Canis lupus familiaris: one gene and its partners. The protein of the gene in region 2 interacts with the protein of the main gene of each other region in a pairwise test. Links are inferred from orthologs where the notes say so. Each region holds a gene or a part of one and is shown on either strand. Other genes may lie near its edges.

The links.
Region 1: the proteins of TK1 (region 2) and LRIF1 interact in a two-hybrid assay, tested with the Homo sapiens proteins (2 studies listed by BioGRID and IntAct). The link is inferred for Canis lupus familiaris from reciprocal best matches to the Homo sapiens genes TK1 and LRIF1.
Region 3: the proteins of TK1 (region 2) and GDF9 interact in a two-hybrid assay, tested with the Homo sapiens proteins (2 studies listed by BioGRID and IntAct). The link is inferred for Canis lupus familiaris from reciprocal best matches to the Homo sapiens genes TK1 and GDF9.
Region 4: the proteins of TK1 (region 2) and PTPRK interact in a two-hybrid assay, tested with the Homo sapiens proteins (2 studies listed by BioGRID and IntAct). The link is inferred for Canis lupus familiaris from reciprocal best matches to the Homo sapiens genes TK1 and PTPRK.
Region 5: the proteins of TK1 (region 2) and CCDC90B interact in a two-hybrid assay, tested with the Homo sapiens proteins (2 studies listed by BioGRID and IntAct). The link is inferred for Canis lupus familiaris from reciprocal best matches to the Homo sapiens genes TK1 and CCDC90B.
Region 6: the proteins of TK1 (region 2) and COPS6 interact in a two-hybrid assay, tested with the Homo sapiens proteins (2 studies listed by BioGRID and IntAct). The link is inferred for Canis lupus familiaris from reciprocal best matches to the Homo sapiens genes TK1 and COPS6.
Region 7: the proteins of TK1 (region 2) and TLE1 interact in a two-hybrid assay, tested with the Homo sapiens proteins (2 studies listed by BioGRID and IntAct). The link is inferred for Canis lupus familiaris from reciprocal best matches to the Homo sapiens genes TK1 and TLE1.

The regions. Positions count from the first base shown.
Region 1 is NC_049227.1:41,480,221-41,484,187, forward strand, and holds the start of LRIF1 (ligand-dependent nuclear receptor-interacting factor 1), read left to right. Parts: upstream 1-1,167; 5' UTR 1,168-1,570; coding exon 1,571-1,638; intron 1,639-3,967. UniProt on the Homo sapiens protein: Together with SMCHD1, involved in chromosome X inactivation in females by promoting the compaction of heterochromatin.
Region 2 is NC_049230.1:3,864,583-3,868,809, forward strand, and holds the start of TK1 (thymidine kinase, cytosolic), read left to right. Parts: upstream 1-1,427; 5' UTR 1,428-1,497; coding exon 1,498-1,563; intron 1,564-1,711; coding exon 1,712-1,743; intron 1,744-2,720; coding exon 2,721-2,831; intron 2,832-4,227. UniProt on the Homo sapiens protein: Cell-cycle-regulated enzyme of importance in nucleotide metabolism. Catalyzes the first enzymatic step in the salvage pathway converting thymidine into thymidine monophosphate.
Region 3 is NC_049232.1:21,140,306-21,144,403, forward strand, and holds the start of GDF9 (growth/differentiation factor 9 precursor), read right to left. Parts: upstream 2,801-4,098; coding exon 2,422-2,800; intron 892-2,421; coding exon 1-891. UniProt on the Homo sapiens protein: Required for ovarian folliculogenesis. Promotes primordial follicle development. Stimulates granulosa cell proliferation. Promotes cell transition from G0/G1 to S and G2/M phases, through an increase of CCND1 and CCNE1 expression, and RB1 phosphorylation.
Region 4 is NC_049222.1:67,164,397-67,167,896, forward strand, and holds part of PTPRK (receptor-type tyrosine-protein phosphatase kappa), read right to left. Parts: intron 1,319-3,500; coding exon 1,155-1,318; intron 629-1,154; coding exon 493-628; intron 1-492. UniProt on the Homo sapiens protein: Regulation of processes involving cell contact and adhesion such as growth control, tumor invasion, and metastasis. Negative regulator of EGFR signaling pathway. Forms complexes with beta-catenin and gamma-catenin/plakoglobin.
Region 5 is NC_049242.1:16,013,254-16,016,753, forward strand, and holds part of CCDC90B (coiled-coil domain-containing protein 90B, mitochondrial), read left to right. Parts: intron 1-2,867; coding exon 2,868-2,969; intron 2,970-3,500.
Region 6 is NC_049227.1:9,446,834-9,451,108, reverse strand, and holds COPS6 (COP9 signalosome complex subunit 6), read left to right. Parts: upstream 1-1,475; 5' UTR 1,476-1,500; coding exon 1,501-1,624; intron 1,625-1,845; coding exon 1,846-1,971; intron 1,972-2,164; coding exon 2,165-2,296; intron 2,297-2,623; coding exon 2,624-2,712; intron 2,713-2,801; coding exon 2,802-2,864; intron 2,865-3,170; coding exon 3,171-3,218; intron 3,219-3,295; coding exon 3,296-3,410; intron 3,411-3,503; coding exon 3,504-3,596; intron 3,597-3,688; coding exon 3,689-3,789; intron 3,790-3,895; coding exon 3,896-4,036; 3' UTR 4,037-4,154; downstream 4,155-4,275. UniProt on the Homo sapiens protein: Component of the COP9 signalosome complex (CSN), a complex involved in various cellular and developmental processes.
Region 7 is NC_049222.1:78,233,199-78,236,698, forward strand, and holds part of TLE1 (transducin-like enhancer protein 1), read left to right. Parts: intron 1-401; coding exon 402-554; intron 555-1,659; coding exon 1,660-1,804; intron 1,805-2,810; coding exon 2,811-3,001; intron 3,002-3,500. UniProt on the Homo sapiens protein: Transcriptional corepressor that binds to a number of transcription factors. Inhibits NF-kappa-B-regulated gene expression. Inhibits the transcriptional activation mediated by FOXA2, and by CTNNB1 and TCF family members in Wnt signaling.

The DNA of each region.
Region 1 (3,967 bases), on a different chromosome or scaffold from region 2:
TCACTTCCTTTCCCTCCCCTCCCCTATACTGATCCCTGATAAACTTCCCTCACGCCAAAATACACCGGACAAAGTCCGTTTCCCAGGGAAACCAACCTGTGACAATGAGTTTTCGTACATAGGAAGAGATGATGGGTAGGAGGAGAATTGAGTGTGGAAGGTAAGAAATAAATGATGAAGCAGGGAAGAAGCCAAGAATGGGCAACTTATTCAGATCAGAGAATGACGGAAACCCAGCCCCTATGAAGGGCTGAGCACCTCGCCCCCTTTTAGTGCGGGACATACTCGACTGAAAGACAGACGCCAGCTACACACGCAGGATTCTGTGCCACCGAAACTACCACAGAGCACCGCGCTCAGGAAGTCGTGCTTTCTCTTAACCTGTCGGAACACTGTCGTTTCACTGCGCTTACCACGGAGCTAGGGGATGAGGGGCCAGGGGACTCGGCCCCCGAGGCCGGACAGTCAGTATGCGCCAGTTCACACTTCCACCGCCTGTCCCTCATAAGACGCCCTCGTCGGCCGCTCCTGCCGCCGCCTCCCTGCAGCCCCGGCTGAACGGCACCGCCCGCCCTTCCACCAGGGGCTTGGCCGGTCTCTCGGATGCAGGATTCAACACCGGGAGCCGGGAGACTTCTGAAAAGAATTTCTCCGGAGAGCCAAGTGAAGAGGAAAAAAGATGTCTATGGAGGGCGAACTTTCAGAGAACCAGCCGATTAACTCTGACGATGACTTTGACCGAGGCATGAGATGAACGCGCGGTGGAGGGAAAGGTCAGGTTAAGAAGAGAGGCAAAACTTCAAGAAAGAGGAAATGAACGAGAAAGCGCAGGAAGCGGCAATAAACAGAGCGCTGCCCACGGGCAGGCGTCTAAGAGGCGCGCACAGCGTCAGGCACTAGTCCAGAGCCGCCGCCGACGTCTCCTCCGGCGCTGGCGGGAAAGAGAAACGTGCAGGAGCGGCGAGCGCATTGGCAGAAAATTTACCAATGACCCCGGAAGCGTTTTATTTTGCGTAGGCATCTTGAGCATATCCTCTCGTGATTCGTTCGTTGATCCGGAAGAAGAGACACCAAACGTCCTCTGCGATTGGATCGTAGCATCGGGGCGGTGCTTTAGCGAGCCAGTCACCTCGGCGACCGGATGTGACGATGCCGGAAGCCGCTGACTGAGCTGGGCCCGGCTGGCGGCTGCGGTGGGCGGGGTCGGCCGAGCCCGTCCGGCGCGGTCTTCCCCACGGACCCAGCGCTGCTGGGGGCGGTGCCATTAAGGCCCCGCCTCCCGCGTCGACTCCGATTGGCTCTGGCGCGACGCCGTCGGCTCGCGGGGGGCGGAGACTCGGGCCGCTCCTCCCAGAGGCCGGGGCCGGGCCGCGTCGTCAGCCGCTGCGGTCCTTCCGGTTTCTGGCAGCCGCGTCGCCTCCTTCCGAAGGCTGGGGTCCTCCTTTCGCAGCGAACCCGTTGGGCGCCGTCCAGCCCAACACCGGGTCGCTCCGGGTCTCGCCCCTCGGGAGGCCCTCGGCCCCTCGTTGCCCACTTCCCTGGAGGTGCCGGCCCCTCCCGCCCCTCTAAAATGTCCAATCACCTCCAGAGGGTCTTCCTGAAACCCGCAGAGGAAAGCTCGGGCAACGCCTCGCAGTGGTAAGTACTGGTTGCGACTCCCCCTCAACACGCCTGCCCCGGCCCGCCTCTTAGCAGGGTGCCCAGGCGGCCTTCTCCTCCGGGCGCCCTGGCCCCGCAGTGGGCGCGCCTTGGGGGCGAGCGCCGGCCGGCGGGGCGCTCACGGCCCTGGAGCCCTCCGAGCGCTCGAGCGCGCCCCTCCTGGAAACGTGCAGCCTCGGCCCGCCCCGGCCCCGCACGACTCCTGCGACGGAGCAGCTCTCCACGGGAGAGGAAGACCAACATGGCCGGCGCGCCCGCGTGGACGGACGCCTTCTGGAAGGTTCTCGCGCACTCGCCGGAAAACACGCAGCGCGCGCGCGGACCAGCAGGTGCCGCCCAGGTGGTGCGGCCCAGATGGTGCGGCCCAGGTGGCGCAGGCCCTCCCGTGCGGACGGCTGTTCCTTCAGAGGAGTGAGAAGGAAAGGAAGAATGTGTGCAGGGGATGCTTAGGATATGAAACCACAACCTGAAAAATTGATCTCGTCTGAGGGAATGGATCTTTTCTTTTTTAAAAAGGATTTTGCTTATTCATGAGAGACACAGAGAGTTAGAGACCCAGGCAGAGGGAGAAGCAGGCTCCCTGCGGGGAGCCCCATGCGGACCTCGATCCCGGGACCGGGCTCTCACCCTGAGCCGAAGGCAGGCGCTCCACCACCGAGCCACTCAGGCGGCCCTGGATTTTGTTTGTAAATTTTAAATAGTAGTTTTATATGGAAAGGAAGAAAAGTAGAATGATTGCCACGTGAGATCGGTGGTTGGGAACAGAGTCTTTGAAGCAGCTGTAATGAGAACGCCCTCTCTCGTTGGATATCTCCCTATTTGACATAGGGAGATTCCAGGATTTCTTTTAAAAAGGCGTACGTGGTTGCACATTTCCAAAACAGTTTATCACTAAGTCAATTTTTTTTAAAGTTCTGTTAGTCAACATGAAATAAAAGGGGAACAGAACTGTTAGGGAAGATCGACTATTTTAAGTTGTAGACTCCATGGTTAGTGGATATAGTAAGTGGTGAGAAAAAACTTAATTGGTGTCTGCGGAAGGAAAATGTGAAGAAAGATGGAAATTGAGCGTAGAATTCATGGAAGAGGATTTATGTTTGAAGAACATCAAGCTGCCTAAATTTAATCCTAGCTTTGACAGTTAACAGTTCGTGAGACCAAGTGCCTTTCTCCAGTCTCCTTTCCAGTAAATTAGAGCGCCTAGAGATATTTTTAGAGTTAAAAGAATGAGTATATGTAGAATACTTAGTATAGAAAAAAAAAAAAAGCAGTACTTATGTGTTAGCTATTATTATGAGAATACGAGTTTATTTCTCTACAAATTTTAGCTCAGTAAGGTTTATTTTAATTACAAGTATATGCAAAATGGAATTGTAAGAAGGACTAAAAAAGCATGCACGGCATCTTAAGAAGAAACGGTCACTAAATGCGGTGAGCCAAAACAGCATTGAAGAGCTGCCAAGAACCATTGGGATTCAAATCGTAAACAGAGCCAGCTTGTGTGTACGTATAACGTTTTGGTTTACTTTTGGTGGAAGCTAGGAGGAGAAGCAGATGTAGTGTTCTGTATAGATAATGCAAAAGTAAAAATACTTTCTCATGGTTGTTCATTTCTTCTACCTTTGTTTTGGCCTGGGTATTTGATGACGTGTAACTTAACACAATTTGTTTTAAGAATGCATTGTTCTGCAATGTTAGAAATAAGATAGTATAAGAACCTAACCTTTTTATTTATTGTGACTTTAACTCTTTGACCCAATTTCTAAGCCTTCGGCTATATGTATTTGGCATTTTTAAAAACTTTACAAAATGAATTAGGTTTTGGTTACTTACCTGTGTAAGTCATTGGGAGTTCGTTAACTCATTGGTTTATGAATTGTGTACATCATCTTCAAATGCATTTATTTCTTCAAATCACTGAGATTTGACATCACATGTTCTGGACATTACCAGATGTTTTTTTGATGCCATTTGACTCTTATTTTGGTTATCGCTTGCGTGTTTGATTCTGTTCTGTTTTGTAAGTAATAATCTTCATGACTTGCAAGTATAATTTTATGAATCATTTGATTAATTTCAGCTCTTTAATTGGAAGCACAGTTTCTTGATTTTTTGATAATTTTGATGGTACTAAATCATTTTCATGAACTTAAAATGAGTATGATTTTTACTTTCTGTAGATGCTTGGATTTTTCTCGAGTTACTGCTGCTTTCCTTTTGTAAAGCTTTTCACGATTGCATTACAGGTTTATTGTTTAACATGTGTCTAGTTCATCATGGCATAAAGTATAAGAATCAGAACTAATCT
Region 2 (4,227 bases):
TTGAAATCAAGGGTCAGGCCTCAGGCGCCCATGAGAGGGCGGGATTCTGATTGCAGGAGTCACGGCAAAGAAACAAAGGTCAGGAGAGAGGAATCAAAGGTCAGTTTGGAAATGCTGGTGAGTCAGACCACCGAGACACAGAGGTGAGGTGGAAGGAGGGACTACGGGGAGAGGATCTCAGATGTCAGGCTAAGACACAGAATTAATGCAGAGAGTAGCAAGGAACCAGGTTTGGGAGAAAGAGCTCAAAGGCAAGGAGAAAGAGTGAAGCCTAAAATGGGAAATTTTAAGACGGGGTGGCTTCATGGAAGGGTCCTGGGCTCTGGTGTCAGATGGGTTGAATGCCATCCATGTTCTATCCCTTACAGGCTGTTTTACCCTGGGCAGCTTACTTATGCTCTCTGGGCCTCAGCCCCATCTACATAATGGGCATAATAGTAGCATCACAAGGTTGAAGGACATAAAGCATGTAAATGAAGTAAAACTAACCATTCAAATGTGGGTTATGGCCCCCTCCCGTTGAACGAGGTGCCTGACCAGCGTTCTTTAGATCCTGTACAATCTGTGCCTGCGGCACATAGCGGCACACGCTGTCACTGCTACCGTCATCTTCCCTGTCGTTATGTACAATAACAATAATGCAATGGGTTTCTGACACAGAGAGAACGGGGTTTTCTTGGGGGGGGGCGGGGGCAGAATGCATAACTTATCAGATTCTCACATGTATCCGTGACCGGAAAACAAATAAACCAACCCAAACCAACCCAAAATACAGCCTGAAATGCAGGGAAACTAGTTAGGAAATCATAGTTGAGTGATAACCCTAGTAAGTGCTTTGCCTGTCCTGCGGTGAACGCCGGCCTTTCCGAATCCTTCACCCCGGCACATCCTCCATCCACGTTGTGGGACCTCAGTGTCGGGACTGTGCCTCCTTTATGGATATTAGCACAGCCTGTTTTCTCTACCCTGAAGACCAGGCGCCCCGAAGCCTGCCTGTGGCCAGAAGCAAAGGAGATGCCGGCGCTAGGGCTTTGGGAGCGGCGCACAGGGGCCGCCGGCGCCCTGGGGGGCTGGGCTCTGGGTCTCTAAGCTCGCCTCCCCGAGGGGAACGGCCTCTAGGCCCCGCGCGCCCCGCTCGGCGCAACCCGCCTACCTCCTTGGACAGCCGCTTCCAGGGCGCCGGGCCCTCCATCCCGCCGCGGCCGGCCAGAGGGCGCGCCCCGGCCCTTTAGAGGCCCTTTAGAGGCGGCGGCCGGGGCGGGGCCGACCGTCCAGGTGACGCGAGCCCGCCGGGTCCCCGGGGCCGCCCACGAGGGGCGGGCCGCGCTCGAATCTCCCGCCAGTCCGCGGCCGCGCGCTGATTGGCTGCGGGGCGCCCGCGCCGGCTCCCGATTGGCCAGCGCGCCCGGGATAAAGGCCGGCGGCGGGGGCACCCGGGTCAGGCTGCTGGGCGGTGGCACCCGAGGGCTCCCGAGCGGCGGGCTTCGTGCAGGCGCCATGAGCTGCATCAACCTGCCCACCGTGCTGCCCGGCTCCCCCAGCAAGACCCGGGGGCAGATCCAGGTGCCGGCGCGGGGGTGGCACCCCGGCGGGCGCGGGTGGCGGGCCGGGGTCGCGACCCGGGTGCGGGTTGGGGTTGGGGTTGGGGTTGTGGCCCTGGCCTGCAGTCCGTGCGCAGCGGGCCCCGAAGTGACCTCTCCTTCTCTCCTAGGTGATTCTAGGACCCATGTTCTCAGGAAAAAGGTAAATAAGTAATGTCCTCGCGGGGACGGCCTTCTCCCCCCTCCCTTCCGGGGGCCCGTCCTCCTCCCCTGCTGCCCCTCTCAGTGCCCCCCTGCAGGACGACCCCTCCCCCGGACCGAGCACGCGTTCCCGCCCCATGCGGTCCTGCAGGAGGGCGCCTCTTCCCTGCCCGCGGGGTTCAGACCCTTCCATGGGGTCATGGCACCACGTCGCCCCCCTGCAGCAGGTTATGGCTGCTGAGGGTGTAGTCCTCCCTCCCCCCACCCTCCCACTAAATCTCTCTTGGAAAGGAGCAGCCAAGTCTTTTCGTTTCGTTTTGGTTTTTTTTTTTTCAATTTAAAATTTTAATTCTTCTAAAATGGTGTCCTCGGTGAGCTGGGTCCTGTGCACCCTGCAGCATCCACACTCCTCCTTCCCTTCCTAGTGTTTGTTTCCTTAAGTAGTTTACACACTAAGGAGTCAGGCCAGGATGCCTTTGCTCCCCTGATGTGACAGGACGGTGGCCTGACCCAGGCAGGGCTAGTCGGCCCCCTGAGTGACGCCCTCTGCCCTGGGGGGGGTCACTGCAGGGCAAACCTGGTGCCCACCACAGTCAGGCCAGGGTGGGCTCTGGGACCCAGAGGTAACTGCTTTTTTTTCTTGAACAACAACAACAAAAGACTGCGAAGTCAATGCAGACCATGTGAAGACCTCTGGGATGGGACTCTTTGGGGATGCAATCCAGACCCCTCTTCTCTGTCGGAGGCCTTTGACTCTACTCACCCCATCAGATCCCTGAGACATTTATTCTCCCACCCCCTCCCCAGACCACCTGACCTCTGTTCCTTGCCATCACCACCCTCTGTCCTCTCTGGTTTTTCTGTCCATTGGTGGGTCTCAGGCTGTAGACCCCCAGCAGGGGTGGGGGGGGAGCCCCACTTGTGCTAATGGGGACTTCCTTAACATCCTGGGTCTCACCTAGTGCTCTGCTCTTGCAGTACCGAGCTGATGAGAAGGGTCCGTCGCTTCCAGATTGCCCAGTACAAGTGCTTGGTGATCAAGTATGCCAAAGACACGCGGTACAGCAACAGCTTCTCCACGCATGACCGGTCAGTCCCTGTTCTCTCCTGTCCTGTCCCAGCACTTCTTCCGGAAACCTGGTGAAAATGCGCAAGGGCATAGGCCATACTGTCAGAGCGCTCTTCAGCAGGACTGGTTAGCCATGCCGGTGGGCGGCATGGAAACGTGCAACTCAGCAAACTCTCAAGGTCGCTTGGCAAGGGATCTTAGGACTTGGCCTCTCACAGAGTTCTGGCCCGGTGTTCTTCACAAAGGGAGATTTTGTTCCCCCTCTCGCTCCCTCAGAGTCCATTTGGCAATGTCTGGAGACATCTGTAGTCTTCACAGCTGGAGTAGGGGAGGGCATGCTATGGGCATCCAGTGGGGAGAGGCCAGGGATGCTCCTGAATTCCCAGTGCACAGGACGGCCCCCACAACAAATACTGACCCTGCCCCGATGGTCAATAGTGCCGAGCTTACATCTGTGCTGTTGCAAACTGGTTTTGTTTAGCGTGCATGTTGCTTTTCATTTAGCTTTTCAGTTGTTTTATCTTGGTTGACTCTGTTGTCTTGTGGCCTTCATGCTTCCCAGTTTTGTGTTTATCTGCCTGTGCCCTGCACACGTTTCAGTCTGCAACCTGAGGTCGGGAATGAGAGGTTGAGTTTAGTTTTACTCTTGCCTGTTCCTTGGCTGCAGATTTCTGAGCCTGAGATGTTACCTCTTTTGGACTTGTCCGCCCGAGCCGCCAGCGGCAGAGCCACGCTGTGCCACAGGGAGGGCTTGCAGCCTCAGGACTGCCCCGTGTGTGGCTTTGGGGTGGGAATGTGGGGTTTCTGAAGCCGGGCGGGTGGTGGGTGGATAGTGTCTAGGAATTGGAGTTAAAGCATCAGGATGTGAGTGACTGGTGCTTTCTGCCGTGCTGCCCTATGCAGGTCATTTAGGTCTTGCAGTTACTTCTTCCCTAAAACATGTGTCTGCTTCTGCTGCACTGGCCAGGGGCACATCCAGGGAGGGCAGTGCGAGCAGAGGAGGCCGCATTACGCAGTGATAAGTCAGATCAGGGGCATGTCTGAACTTGGCCGGAGCCGCACACATGCCCTCTCACTTGGGCCACAGAAGCTGAGACGGGCCATGGCTGTGACTCAGCCCTTGGCGGGAGTGACAGGGCTCCAGAGATGCTGCCCTTGCCCACCCTCTGGTTTTCTCTGGCTTGGGGTGGGAAAGGGGAATTTAAAATGCAGGAAATACCATCTCCTGCTCTTGCCAGATCTTGGAGTAGACTTATAGCAAGATAATAACTGAGCAGTGGTTGTATTTTATTTTTTCTAAATACAGCTACAGGCTGCTGAGCCTTTGGAAAGTACCAGCCCCCAGGGGTACCTGGATGGCTCAGTTGGTTAAACGTCTGCTTTTGGCTCAGATCGTGATCCCAGGGTCTTGGCATC
Region 3 (4,098 bases), on a different chromosome or scaffold from region 2:
TCAAAACACTGAGAGGGCTGTATTTGGCAGGTACGCACGATGGTCTTGGCACTGACGAGTTGAGCTTCTCATGGATGATGTTCTGCACCATGGTGTGCACTGGCGAGCCATATCGATGTCCAACTGCCCTTGGACAGTCCCCTTTACAGTATCGAGGGTTGTATCTGTGCGGGGCCACGATCCAGTTGTCCCACTTCAGCTGACTAAAGCTCAGCCTGAAGTCGTGGAGCTCACACTCGTGTTGGGGGAAAAGAAAGTGTTTCAAGTATTCACTCAGATTGAAAGAAGCGGGAGCCAGAGGCTTGTGCAGTTCCAAGCTGACGGTGTCCTGACCTCTCCGGTGACGGGAAGATCTTCCACCTTCAGTCGATTCCTCTCCTATGGGACAGGCAGACAGACCTCCCTTCTGGTCAGCCCTCTGTGAAGATCTCCTTTTATAGTGAAGGGAATCCCACCTGTGATGAGCCTGAGCACTTGTGTCATTCAGATATAAAAGCAGGGATGGGGGTACCAGCAGCGTCCTATTCCACGGCCCATCCTGTGCCACAGGATCCTGCTGCTGGTTTCTCACACAGGTAAAATTTACAGACATGTGAAGACTTCTCTTGTGCAAGGCCACTAGAGGCCGGAGAGCAGTGGTCACATCAACCTCAAACCATTTGTATTTCTTTTTCAATTCAAACTGTGAGTTAAAGGTCAATAAGGATGGAGCTCTCTGGGGGGTCCAGCTAGAAAACTCTGGCTCTTTGATCACCAGGTGGCACAGACATTTAACGGCAGAGGGGAAAGAAATGGAATTGCTGAAAGAGTACAGCAAACCCGACTTCAGTAAGTGTTCAACGGGAGGAACACGATCCAGGTTAAAGAGCAGGTCCACAGGTGGAACAGAGCCTGAGAAGAAAAACAACCTGCCAGTAGTGCTTGCATACAAACACAACATAACAAGCAGTCAAGGCATTTGTCCTTGTCATGTGCTTTCTCCCTTCTCTTTCCCCACTTCCCCCAGTCTTAAAGAGGAAGGGGGGGGGGGGGAGGTGAGTCAGAGAAAATACCTGCTACAGGTACCACGCTAACTGCCAGAGTGCCCAACCTAGCTATTTTATCAACAGAAAGTCTGAATGGCTTTGGTGGTGAACAACCATAGAAAATCATTGTTTCCCAATCTCAATCATTGGCTCCAAACCTAGAAGCAGCTAATAAATACTATTTTTCTCCTGGAGAATCTCTAGAGAGAAAACTCAAACACATTTATTGGTCTTGTTAAGACGACTTTTTAAGCCCTAATGAACAGAATCAACGAAAAACTTAATGGTCTAATTGGGAACACTTGAGAATGATAACAAATGGAGGCTCTAAAGCCACTGTAATAAGACTTTGAAAAAGGAGAAAGGGTTTTTTTTTTTTTTTTAAGATTTTGTTTATTCATGAGACAGAAGGAGAGAGAGAGAGAGAGAGAGAGAGAGAGAGAGAGAGAGAGAGAGACAGGCAGAGGGAGAAGCAGGCTCCATGAAGGAAGCCTGATGTGGGACTCCATCCCGGGTCTCCAGGATCATACCCTGGGCTGAAGGTGGCGCTAAACCACCAAGCCACCGGAGCTGCCCAGGAGAAAGGGTTTAAAACAGCCACAGCTGACCTGTTGGGTTAGAACTGTTTGTGTCAGGGGCACCTGGGTGGCTCAGTGGTTGGGCATCTGCTTTTGGCTCAGGTCAGGATGCCGGGGTCCTGGGATGGAGTCCTGCATCAGGCTCCTCTTCAGAGAGAAGCCTGCTTCTCTCTGCCGGTCTCTCATGCATAAGTGAATAAAATCTTAAAAAAAAAAAAAAAACAGTTTTGGTCATGAGCTAGTAAGAATGTAGAGGGATTTTTGTTTTGTTTTGTTTTTTAAAGCACTGCTCCTTTCTCACATAGGACTCCAAAGTGCTGGGTCAGGTTGATGACCAACACCTGGTTCTTCAGAGGACCTACTGTTCCAAATGCAGACTTCAGTTTTCCTCATATAAAGCAGTAAAATCCTATTTAACACAATAGATACTTCGGTAGCTAGGAGATGTTTTAGACACAGTTCCAGGTCAACACTGATAGAATGGTAAGAATAAGCCAAGAGAGGTCAAAATACCTGGTTTCCAGTCTGAATTTTGTGACCTGGATAAGAAGCCAACCTCCAGCCACACTCTGTTCAGCTTTTAGAGCTGTTAAGTCTCTTCTAGCTCTAAAGTTCTACCATAGGAGCCCCCCTTATTCCAGGAGAGCATTAGGAAGAAACAGTAAGATCAAGTACCAGATTTGTTGCAATGTGGATACTGAGGATCATGCAAAGTAATATGTAATTCGAGGAGCAAGGCCCAGCTCCTTTCTAATAACTGCAACACAGACAAGTCTATCATCTTCCCACCACCCGTTAACCAGTCTGCTCCTACACACCTGTCGCCTGGTCCCCAGGAGCCTGCGTGTGCTGGGCACAGGACGTGAAGAGTCGAACAGTGTTGTAAAGAGGGCTTCTGTTGGATTTAGGGATCCCCTCCTTGGTAGCACAGGCCTTATAGAGCCTCTTCATGTAGCGCAAAGCTCTAGGCGTGCCACCTTGCCCATCATATAGAACCTTGAAAAGAGGAGAAAGGAAGCCAGATCTGTCTCTTCCATCTGGAGGCCGCAGCAATGACCAAGGCTCAGCCACAGATTCCGACTCAGCTCCAGCCGCCGCCCGAGCTTCTCCTCTCGAAACTTGAGAACCAAGACTAATAGGAAAACACAGCAACGTTAAGCAGAAAAACCAAAGGAAGAAGTTGCTGAGAAGTGCCATGGCCTGGAAGAGCTAGCCAGGGATGCATTTCCCCATATCAGTCTTCTTCCTAAAAGCCCGGAAGTACCTAGGTTGGTCTCTTAAATAAATTTTAGGTGTGGGGGTAGGCTAGGGTCACTTCTGTAATCAACCTCAAGGACGCCTAGCTGAAGACAATTTTTGTCAGCTGTGCATCAAACTGCTGATACCGTCCTATTTATCTAATTTGTCCTCATTAGATACAAATGTATCTGTTATTTCACTTTCCTCTCTCCCTTTTCGAGGCATTTATTTAAAACCTCTTCAGTTATTGTTATGCCAATGGACTAGTTATGCAAACTGAAAGGCCAACGGAATTGAGAAATGATCATAAAACCAACCATTTTTTTGAGATTAGGATTCTTAAAAAGTTCCTTAGGTACTTGCTGGGACTTCCAAAGCAAGTGGGGAAGCTAATTATTCATGATGATATGAAGGTCTGTTGCTATGTAATTTATTGGGTTGTTCCCTCTTCCTCTCCCTTCATCCTCATCACCTCCCCCACTGCCAGGTGGTTAGAATAATTACTTACTGCATATTGCTTTGGAGAGTGAGGAAAAAAGTCACAATTGACATTAAAACTCCAGAGAGCAGAGAACCTTTGGGTTGCCCAATTCTCAGGGAGCTTCCTATGGATTATGTACTTGGAATCCTGCACTATGTTTTAATAAAGGACATCACTTTTAACCTTGACTCATCTTTAAATGTAAGATCTTGATCCTTTACTTTGGTCCACACATTCATCTACATAGACTTGGGTTGAAAGATTTGAAGATGTTTGCAGGGTTTTTTGTTTGTTTTGTTTTTAAACTTAAATTCTAATTTTTAATTTAACTTGCTAGGGTGTTTTTGTTTTAAGGACTCACGTTCTTGCAGCTGAGACAAAGCTAGAGCTGATGTTTTAGGAACAGGAGACTGAGCTGTGCCGTGAAAGGCTGAAACGAGGGCTTATCCGGTGCCACCCGTAAGGAGACCGTGCTGGAAGGACGTCAACCCGCGTTCAGGGCACAAGATTCACGGGCACTCTGTGCGGTACCTACTAGGGTCATGAAACTGAGGCAAGTCTGCGAGTTTTCAGTTCGATTGCGTGCCAAGGCGCCCTGAGCCCCGGCTGGGAGGCAGGGTCCCATAAAACACCTGCCCCCTGTTGAGTGACAGCGTGCTCCGACAGCACACGCGGCGGGCGGGCAAGTCACAGACTCCGCGCGCCGAGCAGAGCGGCCGGGCCCGCAGCAGCCTCCCGCCCAGGGCGCTTCCCGAAATCCCGAGGCGGCCGCCGG
Region 4 (3,500 bases), on a different chromosome or scaffold from region 2:
ATAAATTCCATTTGGCCGTTAGGGACATTCTGTGTCTAAAGTGCTGATGATACAACTTAGGAACATATCCGTTGGATCGATGCTTTACTAGTTAAGCCAGAGGTTTTAATAAATAAAAATAATCGAGAATCAAGACGAGATAGTGGAATTTATTCTTATTATGGAACTATTTACTGACGTTTATTGCAGCAAATATTTATGGCCTCTCACAGGGGAAAGAAGCAACCCTCCACATTTCCCAAATTACGTGAAAATAGTTTTCATCGCTAGCAGTTCCTGTGCTATGTGAGTAAGTTTACGGGGGTAGAGAGAGATACTCAGCAATCCATCAGTTAGGCGGGAAAGTCCCCGCAAAGACTCATTGGCACGTCCTATTCCCTTGGGTGTATGAAGTCAAGCCAATGAGCAGGTCATGGTTGTCTGATCTCTCTGCTCCCTTCTGTGTCTAAGGATCTCTCTGCTCCCTTCCGTGTCTAAGGCTCTGTGACTCACCGGGGCTTCCACCATGTTGGGCTTGCTGTTCCTCAGTGTCTTGACTGCGTGGAACACGTCCACCACATTTTGCCGCTTCACCATTTCGACCACAATGCCTATGGCGCAGAACATACCACTTCGCCCACCACCATTTCTGGAAGCAAAGAAAGCAAAGTCCTGTTGAGATGGCAGCTTTTATTCACCGGAGGCCACATATCTTCTAAGTTTAGAAAATGAAAGCAGGATCCCTTTTTTCCCCACATTTTGTATTAATTTTGCTTTGTATGCATGTGTGTGCAGAGGGCAGAGAGCAAGGACACGTGGGGGTGACATTCGCTCCATAGCTTATACTTAGGAATATGCTGTAGGCGCTGGAGGCCGCAACTTAGCTACCTTGACATTGTGGTACATTTGTAAACTGTGTACATCAGAAAAGTGGTTCCGAGGGGTGTTCGGAAGAGCTTAGGTCATAGAACAGCCATATCATAATCAGTGTTTCAAAAATTGTGGAAATGAAGATGGGGAGTTAATTAGAGACTCATGAGACGGGAAGATTCTGTTAAGATGGTATCCACGGAGATCCCTAAGATGTGAGCGGACTCCTTCACAGAGGAAACACGAAGGCTACTGAGGATCTGAGCACCGAGCCCCCGCTGGGCGGGCTGAGGCACCATACTCACAGGCAGTGGATGATGGTTCGGCCTTCCCCTTCCTCGCACTCCTCCTGCCATTTCTCCACCTGGAGTATCAGTTTCAAAAATGACCGTTTGGAGCCAGGCACTTCTCGGTGAGAGGCCCACCCCAGATACTGAAACTGCTGTACCATCAGGTAACCTTCCTGTGGCTGCAGAGGGAAAGGTATGTTTCTGTAAATAAGTTGGGACTAGAATTTTTACTAAAAAGTGGAGGTGCGTACAAATGTACACCGTGATATACATGCCCTTTACCCTGGATTGAGCCTAGCACAGAACCAGTCCAGGTCACAGAAGCAAGAAACATGAGAATTACCTTTATACAAGCTTCTCCCTCACACCCCATATCCAATAATGGGTCACATTTCTTAAATAACTTTCAAATTCTTCTCCTCTTTATCACCGCTGACATCACTGCATATGCCCAATCACCAATTATGATAATTACTTCCTAGTTGATCTCCTTGAAGAAACTTTGATCTCCTTCCAAACCATTCTTACTGCAGTATCCTGATTATTTTGAAATGCAAATATGATCTTGTCATTCCCCGCTTTAATGGCTTCCAAATAATCTTACATAAAATCCAAATTGCTGCAGTGGCTGAAAAATTCCTATAGGGTATGGCTCCACTTCCTTTCCCGACCTTCTTCTCTTTATTATAATGCATTCTAACACATTGGCCTTTTTTTTTTTTTTAAGATTTTATTTTTTTATCCATGAGAGACACACAGAGAGACAGAGACACAGGCAGAGGGAGAAGCAGGCTCCATGCAGGGAGCCCGACGTGGGACTCGATCCCGGGACTCCAGGATCAGGCCCTGGGCTGAAGGAGGTGCTAAACCCCTGAGCCACCCAGGGTGCCCCCATTGGCCTTCTTTCAATCCATCTATCAGGTCATTTATTGCCTGGGGAACTTTGTACAAACTTTCCATTTGTCCTCCAAGGTCTCCTTCTTGTTTGTGCCTCTCAATCCCAAACACAGTAATCAAGTTGTCTTGGCTTTGTCTGGGACTCTTCTGGTCTTTGAACTGAAACTCATGTATCCTGGGAACCCTCTCTGTCCTGCGAACACCAGCATAGTTGTTTCTCCCAACCCAAATAGCTCCTACCGATCCTTCAAATTTTGCCTCAAAGATCACTACCCCAATGAAGTCTTCTCTAGTCACCCAGCTATGTCAGGTTACTCAAACACTCTGGATTTTGTACTTCTCTAAAATTTCTCATTTTTGTAAATAAATGATTATACAATGAGATGTTCAATGCTTGTCTTCCCTGATAAAATATAAGTTCTTTAAAGATGAGGAAGTTTCTCTTTCTTCCCTAAACTCTGTATCACTAGAACCTAGCAAAATAGTATCCAAAGAATAGTACCGTTGAATGAATGAATCAAGACACTAAGCCCTCAGATAAATGTAAGAAAGAATTTGTAATACAGGAGTGAGCTGTATCATTAGACATCCGATCTGAATTTCCATATGGTAAGGGCTCACGCATCACTAGGAGCTACTAGTACAACACCCAACTTCTTCTCATGGGTGCATATTAAATATCTGATGGAGTGCCTGATAGTAAATAAGATTGGGAATAGAAAGACAATCGTGCACTAATAAGAGCCAGAACACCAAATATAGAGGAAGATAAGTAAACAAATATGATGATAAAAAAAAAAACCCACAGATTTCAGTTCCCATCCTTAGAATATTTTTCATATAAGCAGTTCAATAAAAAGACAATTCTTACTTTCTTAGTTTAGCAGCTACGGTTTCTCAGCTAAAATATTACTAGAACCATAATGGAACAGATGTGCAGACATAATGAGATTCCATTTAAATTAACATCTAAGATATGCATGGATATTATGACATGATTTGGAGTTATCCTTTTTTTCTCCACTGAAATGAGCGACAGAATTGGATATGATTTTATCCTCTGCTTATAGTTATACATACAGACTTATTAGCCAGAAACACATATAGCCATTTCGATGTGAAAACACTGAAACATGACAATCTGAATCATGCACTTAAAATAATACACATACACAGAGCTGCTGCGCTAAAAAACAGAGGAATGCTCTTTAAAAACAGTGATTCTGGGCACCTGGGTGGCTCAGCTGGTTAAGCGTCTGCCTTCGGCCCAGGTCATGATCCCAGGGTCCTGGGATCCAGCCCCTCATCGGGCGCCCTGCTCAGCGGAGGAGTCTGCTTCTCCCTTCCCTTTGCTTCCCCCCACCACTCTTTCTCTCCCAAATAAATAAATAAAATCTTAAAAAAAAAAAGAGAGAGTAATTCCATGGATATCACTAATGATTTCTTTTTCAAATTCTGCTTACT
Region 5 (3,500 bases), on a different chromosome or scaffold from region 2:
ATCTTTTGATTAGAACACTTAGACCATTTCATTTAAAGTAATTATTGACATATATGTTCTTTTTGCCATTTTGTCACTCTTATAGTTCTTCTCCATGCCTCTCTTGGTCTCTTGCTCTCATTCCTTGTGATGCATCACTTTAGTATTCTGCTTAGCTTTGTTTTTTGTGTGTATCTATTACAGATTTTAGGTTTGTGGTTGCCATATGGTTCCCATATGACATCCTAAGAACTTAGCAGTCATATATTGTCACTTAAGTTCAAACACATGCTTAAAGAAATTCATTTTTATTTCCCCCCTGCACATTTTCTGTGTATGTTGTTATATTTTATATCTTTTTTTTAAAAGATTTTATTTATTCGAGAGAGAGAGAGAGGCAGAGGGAAAAGCAGGCTCCATGTAGGGAGCCTGACATGGGACTTGATCCCGGGTCTCCAGGACCTCGCCCCAGGCTGAAGGCGGCGCTAAACCGCTGAGCCACCGGGGCTGCCTATTTTATATCTTTTTAATCTGTGAGTCCCTTTAGCTGATTTTTAGATATAATTGACTACTACTTCTGTCTTTTAAGTCTTCAAACTTACTTTATAAGTGTTTGCTGAACTACCTTAATGTTTGCTTTTATTCATGAAAGTTTTTCATTTTATAATTTTCTTCTAATTTGGACCTCTTCTTTTCTCCTCAAAAAAAAAAATCATTTCATTATTTCTTGTAAATAAGAGAAATCACCTCTAACAGTGATGAACTTTTTAAACTTTTGTTTGTCTGGAAAACTCATCAATTCTGAATGATAACCCTGCTGGGTAGGATATTTAGGTTCTAAGTTTTTACAACATCAAGCACTTTGAAAATGTCATACTGTTCCCTTCCGGCCTATATAGTTTCTGCAGGTAACTCATCTGGCCCCCTCCCCTTCTTCTTGTGGGATGCTTATAATGCAAATGTTTCTTCACTTGATATTGTCCAAGAGATCCCTTAACCTCTCCCCTCTTTTTTTTTCTTTTTACTGTTCGCTTTGGGTGCTTTCCATTACCCTCTTTTCCATATTGCTGATCTCTTGTTTTCCATCCTCTAATGTCTTGATTCCCTTCAGTTTATTTTTCATTTCATTTATTGTGTTCTTCAAATCTGATTGGTTCTTTTTAATTTTGTATTTTTGTTCAAGTTCTCATCGAGTTTATTCACTCTACTGTCTAGTCTCATGGGCTTTATGTCCATAATTTTGAACTATTTGTCAGGCATATTTCTTATTTCCATTCTAATTAGGTTTCTGAGGTTTTGGCTTTGTTTGAAGCAGATTCCTTTGTTCCTTCTTCTTGCTTTACCTTGTTTCTGTTAATTATGTGCAACAACTACTTTTAAAAAGTAGAATGATATTGTATCTAATCGTCCTTTGTGGAGAATGTGTGTCTGTTGACTTGAGCTGGCTTTCTGACTATGCGGATGTCGTGGGCTTGGGTCCTGGGGCACTTCATGGTAGGGCCACTTTGGTGTGATATACAGAACCAAAGCGGGTACAGGCTGGGATAATCTGATAGCTCTCCATGTAGACTGCACCCAGGCCAGACAGCTGGTGCTATAGTGGGTTTTGTCTGGGGGCAATCCCAGGGTACTTGCCTGGTAAGACAGCTAAAGTTGAAGAGGTTTCATTCTGGGCAGTCTTGGAGCCCTCCATGGAGCTAGTGCCCTGGCAGAACAGCTTCATCTTAAATGAGTATGGGCCAGGGTGGGTTAGGGACTTTCCACACAGAGGGTACCATGGGAGAACAGCTGATGGTGAAATGAGTGCAAGCCAGGGCTTCCCCAGACCCTTTGTGTAGGTGAGCTGATTTGGTAGGTCCTGGCCTGCTCTGAGCTGGGGGTGTCCTGGCAAGTTATCTGGAGGTGAAGTGGTGGGGGCCTGGATTACTCTAGGGTGCTTTGCACCTATGTTAGTGAGTTAGCTGTTATGAAAACTGACCATGGATATTCTGGTGTTACACTGGAGCCACTTTCATGGACACTGTGTTGGTTTGGGCTAGGGACCTAGTGCTCATTGAGACGGTAGGCCAGCTATGGTTCCCAGACCCTGCTCCCATCTGTGCTCTCAAGGTGGAGGGGGAAGATAAACAGTGATGCAGACCAGTGCCTGAGAACCAGAGAATTGCAGCAGCTCCCACAGTGTTTGGCAGGGTTCTGGGGCTGGATCTTTTATATTCTAGTTACCCTTTGAAACCTCATCATTTTTTCTGTATCCCAGGGCAGACAAATCTGTTCATGGTCATTCAGCACAGTCTCTTTCCACTGTAGTTCTGTCGGGATTGGGGGTTCCCTTTGTGACTGTCTCTCTCTCTTGCCTTTCTGTATGTGGTACATGTTTTGCTGTGCAGAAGCTGTTCAGTTAGCCCGGTGTTGTTTAGGAGGAAATGCTTTATAAATAGGTGTAGAGGGATCCCTGGGTGGCGCAGCGGTTTAGCGCCTGCCTTTGGCCCAGGGCGCGATCCTGGAGACCTGGGATCGAATCCCATGTCGGGCTCCCTGCGTGGAGCCTGCTTCTCCCTCTGCCTGTGTCTCTGCCTCTCTCTCTCTCTCTCTCTCTCTCTCTCTCTCTCTGTGACTATCATGAATAAATAAATAAAATCTTTAAAAAAAAAAAAATAGGTGTAGATTTGGTGTGTCCATGAAAGAGGTGAGTTCAGGGTCCTCGTATGTGGCAACCTTGGATTGGAACCTCTTTATTTTGATATACAGGTTTCATATGGTTTGGTTTTGTTTAGTTAGCTAAGCAAGATTATATTTTGTAGCATAACAACAGATTCTTTTACATTACATGAAAACAATTCTGTGTGAGGTAATGCCATTCCAGATCACTAGGTTATTTTGTTTTCCAGGAAATAACAGTACAACAACTAATGTCTCATTTGGACTCCATCAGGAAAGACATGGTAATCCTAGAGAAAAGTGAATTTGCAAATCTAAGAGCAGAGAATCAGGTGATACAAGTTTTAATTTATTACTAATAAAATAAATGATTTTATGTGGTCAGTTATCAAGTTTTTAGGTCAAAGTATACACATGCTTAACCATACTAATGTTTCTATGTATAAATCATAGTTTCTTGACCAGAGTTAAGAGTTGTGCCTTACACATGTAAAAATCATGTGGAAGGGAAAATCTTTGAGCTGTCTAAATGTTATATAAAATTTCTTGTACATTTTATATGTTCTCAGAATTTAAAGCAATGTGACATTTTCCATTTTAAATGATTCTGTACTAATTTTTTGTCAGTTAAAAGAAAACTTTCTGTATTTCGTTGGAATTTTGTTCGCTAGCTTAAATATTTTTAAATTTAGAATATCAGTCATGGTTTAAAAGTAAAATAAATAGATAAAATAAAACTAGAACAAATACTTTTTTTACTGTCCATAATTTCTGAATATGATGAAGTATTTTCTGAATATGATGAAATATTATTTCCTTTTTTGTCTAGTTTTAGTTAATGTTTGATTAGAAATCTGTAGAGG
Region 6 (4,275 bases), on a different chromosome or scaffold from region 2:
AAGGCATCCTGGTTGCTAAATGTGGCTGTCCCCTGAATGTGTTTGTCTCCTCCTGGTTGGTCTTGACCAGAGGGTACTGATCAGGATGGAAGGAGGGCTTTCTAGACTTGTTCTGAAAATTAAAGATTTTGCCCTGACCATTCCTTGGAATGACACTTCTCCCTGTCCTCCCTCTCCCCACCCCATACCCACCCCAGGCCATCCTGGTTGCAGGCAAAAGGGAGCCTAGCAAACTCCAACTTAATTTTATTTCGGCCACCAGGATTCTCTTCATGGACTGACATAATTCTGGATCATAAAGACAATGACCATTTGATTGAGGGTGCTGCTCTCCAGCTCCCCCACAGTGGGCTGCGTGTGCTATGGCGGGCTGAACAGTGGCCCCCAAATACAGCCAGGTCCCAATCCTTGGAACCTGTGAATGTTACTTTACAGGGAAAAAGAGATTTTGCAGATCTGATTGAAGTATGAATCTTCGGATGGGGAGATTATCGTGGATTTATGATTAAGGATCTTCAGATGGGGAGATTATCCTGGGTTATCCCAGTGGGCACTGTATATAATGCCAGGTGTCTTTATAAGAAAGAAGCAAGGAGGGGTTTTATCGCACAAGGCGATGTGACTACAGAAACAGAGGGACAAAGAAAAAGATTTGAAGATGCTGCTAAAACACTGGAACTGAAGGAAACTGGAACACATTTCCTGGTACCTGCTGGTTGCGGGCACTGGAGTGGGCTCTGCAGGCTCAAGGCACAGGTCTTCACCTGCTTTCTGAGAGCTTTCACTTTGGATGTGGCACAGGCATACACTGAAAGAACCAGCTAGACAAATGGGTAGGGGAGCAAGGGGGAGTAAACGCAGTGCACAGCGACGTGCTTGGGCGTAGGAGTGGGGAGGGGTCGGAGTGGGCTGGGTTTGTCCCAAGCGAGTTTTGAAAGGCTGCTGGAGATGGAGGATAGAGGGAGGCCGGGAAGGGCTGGAGTGCTGGGCACGTTCCTAGTATGTAGGTAATACGGTATTTGCAAGGAGGAAAGGACACGCCGGTGAACCATTCGCGACCAGGTTTCACCTCAGATTATCCACTCAGTGAAATACCTATTTAGGTCCTTGGCTGTCGGGTTGGACGCGGCAGAGGCCCGCACGTGGGCGTGGGGCATACGAAGGGAACTGCCAGGGGAGCCGGCGCGGCTGAAGCACGAGGACCGAGGGCCGGGTGGCAGGCAGGGTCCTGACCCTGCGGGGCCTTGCACGCCATGGCCCGGGCGCGGATCTTGTTCTGAGGGCAATAACGTGGTTCTTCATTAATTCTGCAACAGTCTTAGGAACTGGGCCGTTTTATCCCAGTTTTACTGACGAGGACGGTAAGGCTGGGAGCGCGCAGGGTGAAGTAATTTGTCCCAGATCTGTCACCGCCGCAAGCGCGTGGCGGACCCGGTCTTCCGAAGTCCACCCGCTCCGGGGCCGCCCGCCCCACCCGCCGAGGCCCCGCGCCCACTGAGCATGCGCCGCTGGCCTACGGAAGCCGACGGGGAGGGGGCGGGGCCGAGGCTGGCGGGCGCGGGGAAAATGGCGGCGGCGGCGAACGGGACTGGAGGGAGCAGCGGGATGGAGGTGGATGCGGCAGGTAACGGGCCTCGCGGAGGCGGCCTCTGGTGACGCCCCCCGGGGAGCGACAAGGCCCCCCTGGACTCCCGGGAGGAGTCAGCAGTCGGGACGGCGATCCCGCCCCCTGGACTAACTTGCGGGAGGGATGTATGGCTCCGGCTCTGCCGTCTCCCGCTCGCAGCTCCGGGGCAGAACGTGCGGCCCCGACGCTCACTCGTCCTCCTTTTCCTCCACCCTCAGTAGTCCCCAGCGTGATGGCCTCCGGCGTGACGGGGAGCGTCTCCGTCGCTCTTCATCCCCTCGTCATTCTCAACATTTCAGACCATTGGATTCGCATGCGCTCCCAGGAGGGGCGGCCTATGCAGGGTGCGTGCTGGGCGTCAATCTCCAACCTCCTCTCCTTGGTCACCTGCCCCAAGTAGGGGTCTTTGCCCCCGCCCTTCCTGAGGCCAGTCCCCCCTCCCCAGGTCACCGTGTCTCCAGCATTGCGTTCCCACTGACCTCGACCCAGGGACCGGATTCTTAACCCTCCTGTTTTCCGTGTCGCTCTCTCCCCCAGTGATTGGGGCGCTGATCGGGAAGCAGGAGGGCAGAAATATCGAGGTGATGAACTCCTTTGAGCTGCTGTCCCACACCGTGGAGGAGAAGATTATCATTGACAAGGAGTATTACTACACCAAGGAGGAGCAGTGTGAGAGGGGGATAGACTCGGGGGTGAGGAGTGGGAGTGAGAAACAAAGGCAGAGTGGGGAAGATGGAGAGTGATGGGGAAAAATAGGAGAATGGGACAAGAACTGTGTTTGTGTGAGGAGAGTATCACAAAGGATCTCAGAAAAGGAACAGTTTAGGTACCCACCCCCCAGACAGTAATAGATGAGAGAAGATAGAAGGGACTAATTATTGAGAACTGAGCCAGGAGTTGAGCGGGGAGGGGAGAAGCTGATGAAAAATATACCAGGAGTTTCCAATGAAGGGAGGGTGATTTAAAGAATGATACCCTGTGCTCTTTCCCCTGCAGTCAAACAGGTGTTCAAGGAGCTGGAGTTTTTGGGTTGGTATACCACCGGGGGGCCGCCTGACCCCTCTGACATCCACGTCCACAAGCAGGTACACATGCATGCTGGTGCATGCTGGGGCAGGGCTTGAGCAGGGGAGGAAAGATGGGCATTGACACCCACATCCCCATTCCCTTCCAGGTGTGCGAGATCATCGAGAGCCCTCTCTTTCTTAAGTTGAATCCTATGACCAAGCACACAGATGTGAGTAATACTGACCCCATGCCCACTTAGGCACGGTGCTGGACAAGCATGACAATCTTACCCTCCTCCCCTGCTGTGCTTTACATCTCTGTTGGGCTGAATCTTCACTTGAGGTGAATTCTCCGCTCAGCAGCTGTGTGACTTTAGGTTAATCATTTAATCTCAGAACTGCTTTTTGCCCTATGTATAAGGTGGGGGTTAGCCTTACTTCAGTGGGCCCTTGGGAAGATTGGGAAAATCTGCAGAAGAGCCAGTACGGTAGCCCAGGTGCACTTGATGTAAGAGCTGTCTCCCGTTGCTTTACAGCTTCCCGTCAGTGTTTTTGAGTCTGTCATCGATATAATCAATGGAGAGGTAATGCCCTGCCTTTCAACCCCGCGGTCCTGCTCCTTGGCCTTTCCTGCTCCTGACTCTGCTTTTGTGCCCTGTAGGCCACGATGCTGTTTGCGGAACTGACCTACACTCTGGCCACAGAGGAAGCTGAACGCATTGGCGTCGACCACGTGGCCCGAATGACAGCCACAGGCAGCGGCGAGAACTCCACAGGTAAGGAAGACTGGAGGTGTTTCCTCAGCAGTGGGGGGTGGAAAGCGTGGCCAGGTGCGTTTTCAACCTTGGCCTCTCCCTGTCTCCCCCCAGTGGCCGAACACCTGATAGCACAACACAGTGCCATTAAGATGCTGCACAGCCGGGTCAAGCTCATCTTGGAATATGTCAAGGCCTCTGAAGCGGGTAGGACAGGCGTCTCCCTGGCACGCCTACCACTTTTTCTCACTCCTGAGGGTGACCTCATCCACATTAATGCAGTCCTTCTGTGCCTTTAGGAGAGGTTCCCTTTAACCATGAGATCCTGCGGGAGGCCTATGCTCTGTGTCACTGCCTCCCTGTGCTCAGTACAGACAAGTTCAAGACAGACTTTTACGATGTGAGTCTAAAACCCAGGCTGGGGACGTGGGGTTTGTACATCATGTCTGCACGCAGGACCCGGGACTCAGACATTCCCTGGGCAACTGGTTTTCTGTTCCTTCCAGCAATGCAATGACGTGGGGCTCATGGCCTACCTTGGCACCATTACCAAAACCTGCAACACCATGAACCAGTTTGTGAACAAGTTCAACGTCCTCTATGACCGACAAGGCATCGGCAGGCGGATGCGGGGGCTCTTCTTCTGAGAGGGTACTTGAAGGGACGATGCACAGGTTGGACAGTGGTCCCACAGGGGAGGGGCATCACACTCCCTTTAGAGAAACCTCCTGTTGATAATAAAAGAGGAGCAGCCCCTCAGCACCCCTTGCAGTGGCTCTGTCCTCTCTGTTGGGCACCACACGGCTTTCTCAACTCGGATCTTGAAAGGAGGCCCTTGGTTCCAGCCTTGCTCGGCAGGACAGCCTGATTGGGAACTCTCTGCCAC
Region 7 (3,500 bases), on a different chromosome or scaffold from region 2:
GATCTGACACGAACTTTTGTTAAAAAAATCTGTTTTCCCAGTCATTTAGGATTCGTAAGTTGGGTGCTTAGTGCCCCTTTCATTCCTGTGCCCTGGGAAAAAGGCTTGGTACCTTTTTCATTCCTGAGAAAAGTATCTGAACATGAGGAAGGGTAGAATTGTTCTTGGATGTTTTCTCCCTCTGTGCTGTCTTCATGGATGTGTTTGCAAATGCCATCCTGTTAATTCCGTTAATTATAACAACATTGCTAGTCAGGGTGCACACTCCCAAGTGCTCCAGATCTAAAGGACTTAAAGGGTCCTCCTTTAATATAGAGAATTAGTGTGGAAATAGAATCTGTGAAGCGCAAGGTCCATCCATTATAAGTGAAATCACACAAGCTTTGCTTATGCTTGTTGAGGACCCTTCTTCTCCACGAGCAAGCCCTGCCCATTCACCCAGGGAAAACGGGATCGACAAAAACCGCCTGCTGAAGAAAGATGCTTCCAGCAGCCCGGCGTCCACAGCCTCTTCAGGAAGCTCCACTTCTTTGAAATCCAAAGAAATGAGCTTGGTAGGTCCCATGAGCTGTCCTCTGCCTGTTTAGCAGTTTATTTTCCTTTGTGGTTCAGAGGACCCTTAGTACCTTATTTTCAACTGACCCATTGTGTTGGGGCATGTTGGCATTGGGTTGGGGGTCAGAATGGGAATGTACTCAAGTGGTCACGCCCCAAGAGGCCTGAAACTGATTCAGGGAGGGCAGAGCCTCCTTGTCTGTTCCTACTTTCAACCATTCAACAAATAACGTGGAGCATGTCATCTCTTAACCCACAAAAGCTGAGACATAACAGCTCTACGTGTGATGCTTATACAGTCTTCCTGGGCATTATCCCTGTCACCTATGGGGAAGAAAGTCTGAGGAGCCTGCCAAGTTTATACAGCCCATCAGATCCAAGGCCAGAGGGAGCTAGGGTCTCTCTCCCTATCCCATGCATGCTCTTGGCTTCTCCACAGTGTTCCTCAGACTGGGATTTAAAGGAATGGATGAGATGCAGAGGATGATGCCCCATGACCCTGTTACTGCCACACCCCTGATGGCCTCTGCGCTAGAGGTCAACATCTGTCATGTAGGCAAATGGGCAGTGGTGCTTAACACCTCACACAGCTCTCAAAGGGACAGGACTCCTCGGGCTTTTGCCTTTGAGATGCTGGTTTGTTTCTCATCAAATCCATGGCCCTGCTGCCTCTCACTAATAGTCTCAATCCTACTGCCACTGACAGGCAAGATTAGAAGAGGGATCCTCCCTCTGACATTCTCAGTGACCCAGCCATTTGTTTCTGAAGTGCCTGGGGATTTTTCTCTGGGTGGTCATCGTTCTGACTTGGCCCACATCCAAAGTCCACATGCCTGATGGAAAAATACTTTTTAAAATAAAATCTGCGGAGGAAGAAGTGTGATCATGTTCTGTGTCTCTAGCTAGAGTTTTAATTCTGGCAGGAAGAGGAAAGGTCAACATTTCTCGCTCACAAGTTAATGCTGTCAACATTGTGTGGATTTATGAAAATTGGCTGAGGGAGTAGCTAGAAGGTGCCCAAGTGTCCCAGCTGCTGTTGTGATAAATTGTGTAATATGGCTTGGATTAAAAATAATACTCATTTAATTTGTTTAATGATACCAGCATGAAAAAGCCAGCACGCCTGTTCTGAAATCCAGCACACCGACGCCTCGGAGCGATATGCCAACGCCGGGCACCAGTGCCACTCCAGGACTCCGTCCAGGCCTCGGCAAGCCTCCAGCCATGGACCCCCTCGTTAACCAAGCGGGTAGAGCAACATTGCCTCTTGTTGTGCTTTGTTTTGCGTTTCCCCTTCCTGGCTTGGGTCGTTGTGTGTGCACTCCTGACGCCATTTCCCCATGAATATGAAACACACTCAATGCCCGCCTCCTTCCCATCCCTGAAAAGCCATGATAAGAAACAGATGTTTGTCCTTAGGTTTCAGCAGCTGCACCCTGTTCGGTCTCCGACTGTTTATATTTGGCTCCACCACTACCACCACCCCCTCCCCACAAATAATCCAAATTCCAGGGACTTCAATAAAGTTTCCGATAATTATTTGCACATAAGCTCCTGACCAAACTATCACTTGCATTAATGAGTTCACTAATACTAACCAAAACTGCCCTCCCAAGTGTGCTTCTTGCTTACTTTTTAGTTGGCCATTTTTTTTTCCTGGTATATCCCTCAGGAATCAGTGGTCTGTCATTAGAAATTGGGGGGGTTTCACGGAGTCTCCAGCCCATGAATAAATTAGTAACTTTTAACTTAATCTTCTTTAACACCTTGGCCCCAGACGAAAATAGGCCCTAGAAGATTCCTTCTAAACCCATGCTTTGGTTTCAGTCATGAATCCAGAGTCAGGTCTTCATTTGGAATAGGTAACAGGGAATGAAAATTTAGACTCTAGGAGGAATCTTGGATTTTACCAAAACCTTATTTTGAGATTAAGTCAGATAAACAGGTAGTGCCCTGTGCCTTGGTTTACCTTCTGTGAATCGGGCACAATAGTGCAGTTTATTAATTTTAATTGCCTGGTTTCCCAGTGCTGGAGAGCCAAGGACAAAGTGCATGGACAGTGCTTCCCCTGGGGTTCATTCTTCCCTGGAGATGAATTCAGCTGAGTGGGTGGTGATGACCGCCCCCTATGTCACCCAGGCCATCCTTGTCCTCACCCCTTGTGAATGGCACTAGAGGTGACTCTGGAGTTGACGGTCAGGCTGGACCACAGCGCTGGCTGAGTGACATCCTGCACATCTTGTGCTTCCTTGCAGCGGCCGGCCTGAGGACGCCGCTGGCGGTGCCTGGCCCATACCCCGCCCCGTTCGGGATGGTACCCCACGCCGGCATGAACGGCGAGCTGACCAGCCCCGGCGCCGCCTACGCCAGCCTGCATAACATGTCCCCGCAGATGAGCGCTGCCGCCGCTGCCGCCGCCGTAGTAGCCTACGGGCGCTCCCCAATGGTAGGTGCCACGGACAGGCATGCAGGTGGGCAGGCAGGTGGGTGCACAGGTGGGCAGGAGGGCAGGTGAGCTAGGGCCAGGGCCCCCGCCGCCACCACCGTGGTGGCCTACGGGCGCTCCCTGATGGTAGGTGCCACAGATGGGCACTCAGGTGGGTAGGCAGGTGGGTGCATAGTGGGCAGGTGAGCCAGGGCCAGGACCCCTGCCGCCGTTGCTGTGGTGGCCTACGGGCACTCCTCAATCGTAGATGCCACGGGTGGGCGGGCAGGTGGGAGGGCAGGTGGGTGCACTGGCAGGCAGGTGATCCAGGATCTGGACCTTCACCTGCGCCTGCCCACCAAACAGAGCCCCAGTGTCCCCACTGCGCCCCGCCTGCCACCATCACTATGCTGCTTCATTAAGTTAGGGCTCGGCGCTTCTTGGTTTACTGTTTTTGTGGATGAAACAAGGCAGTGTTTAGGAGCTACTTTTGCGATTCAGGGGACATCTGGTTTTCTCC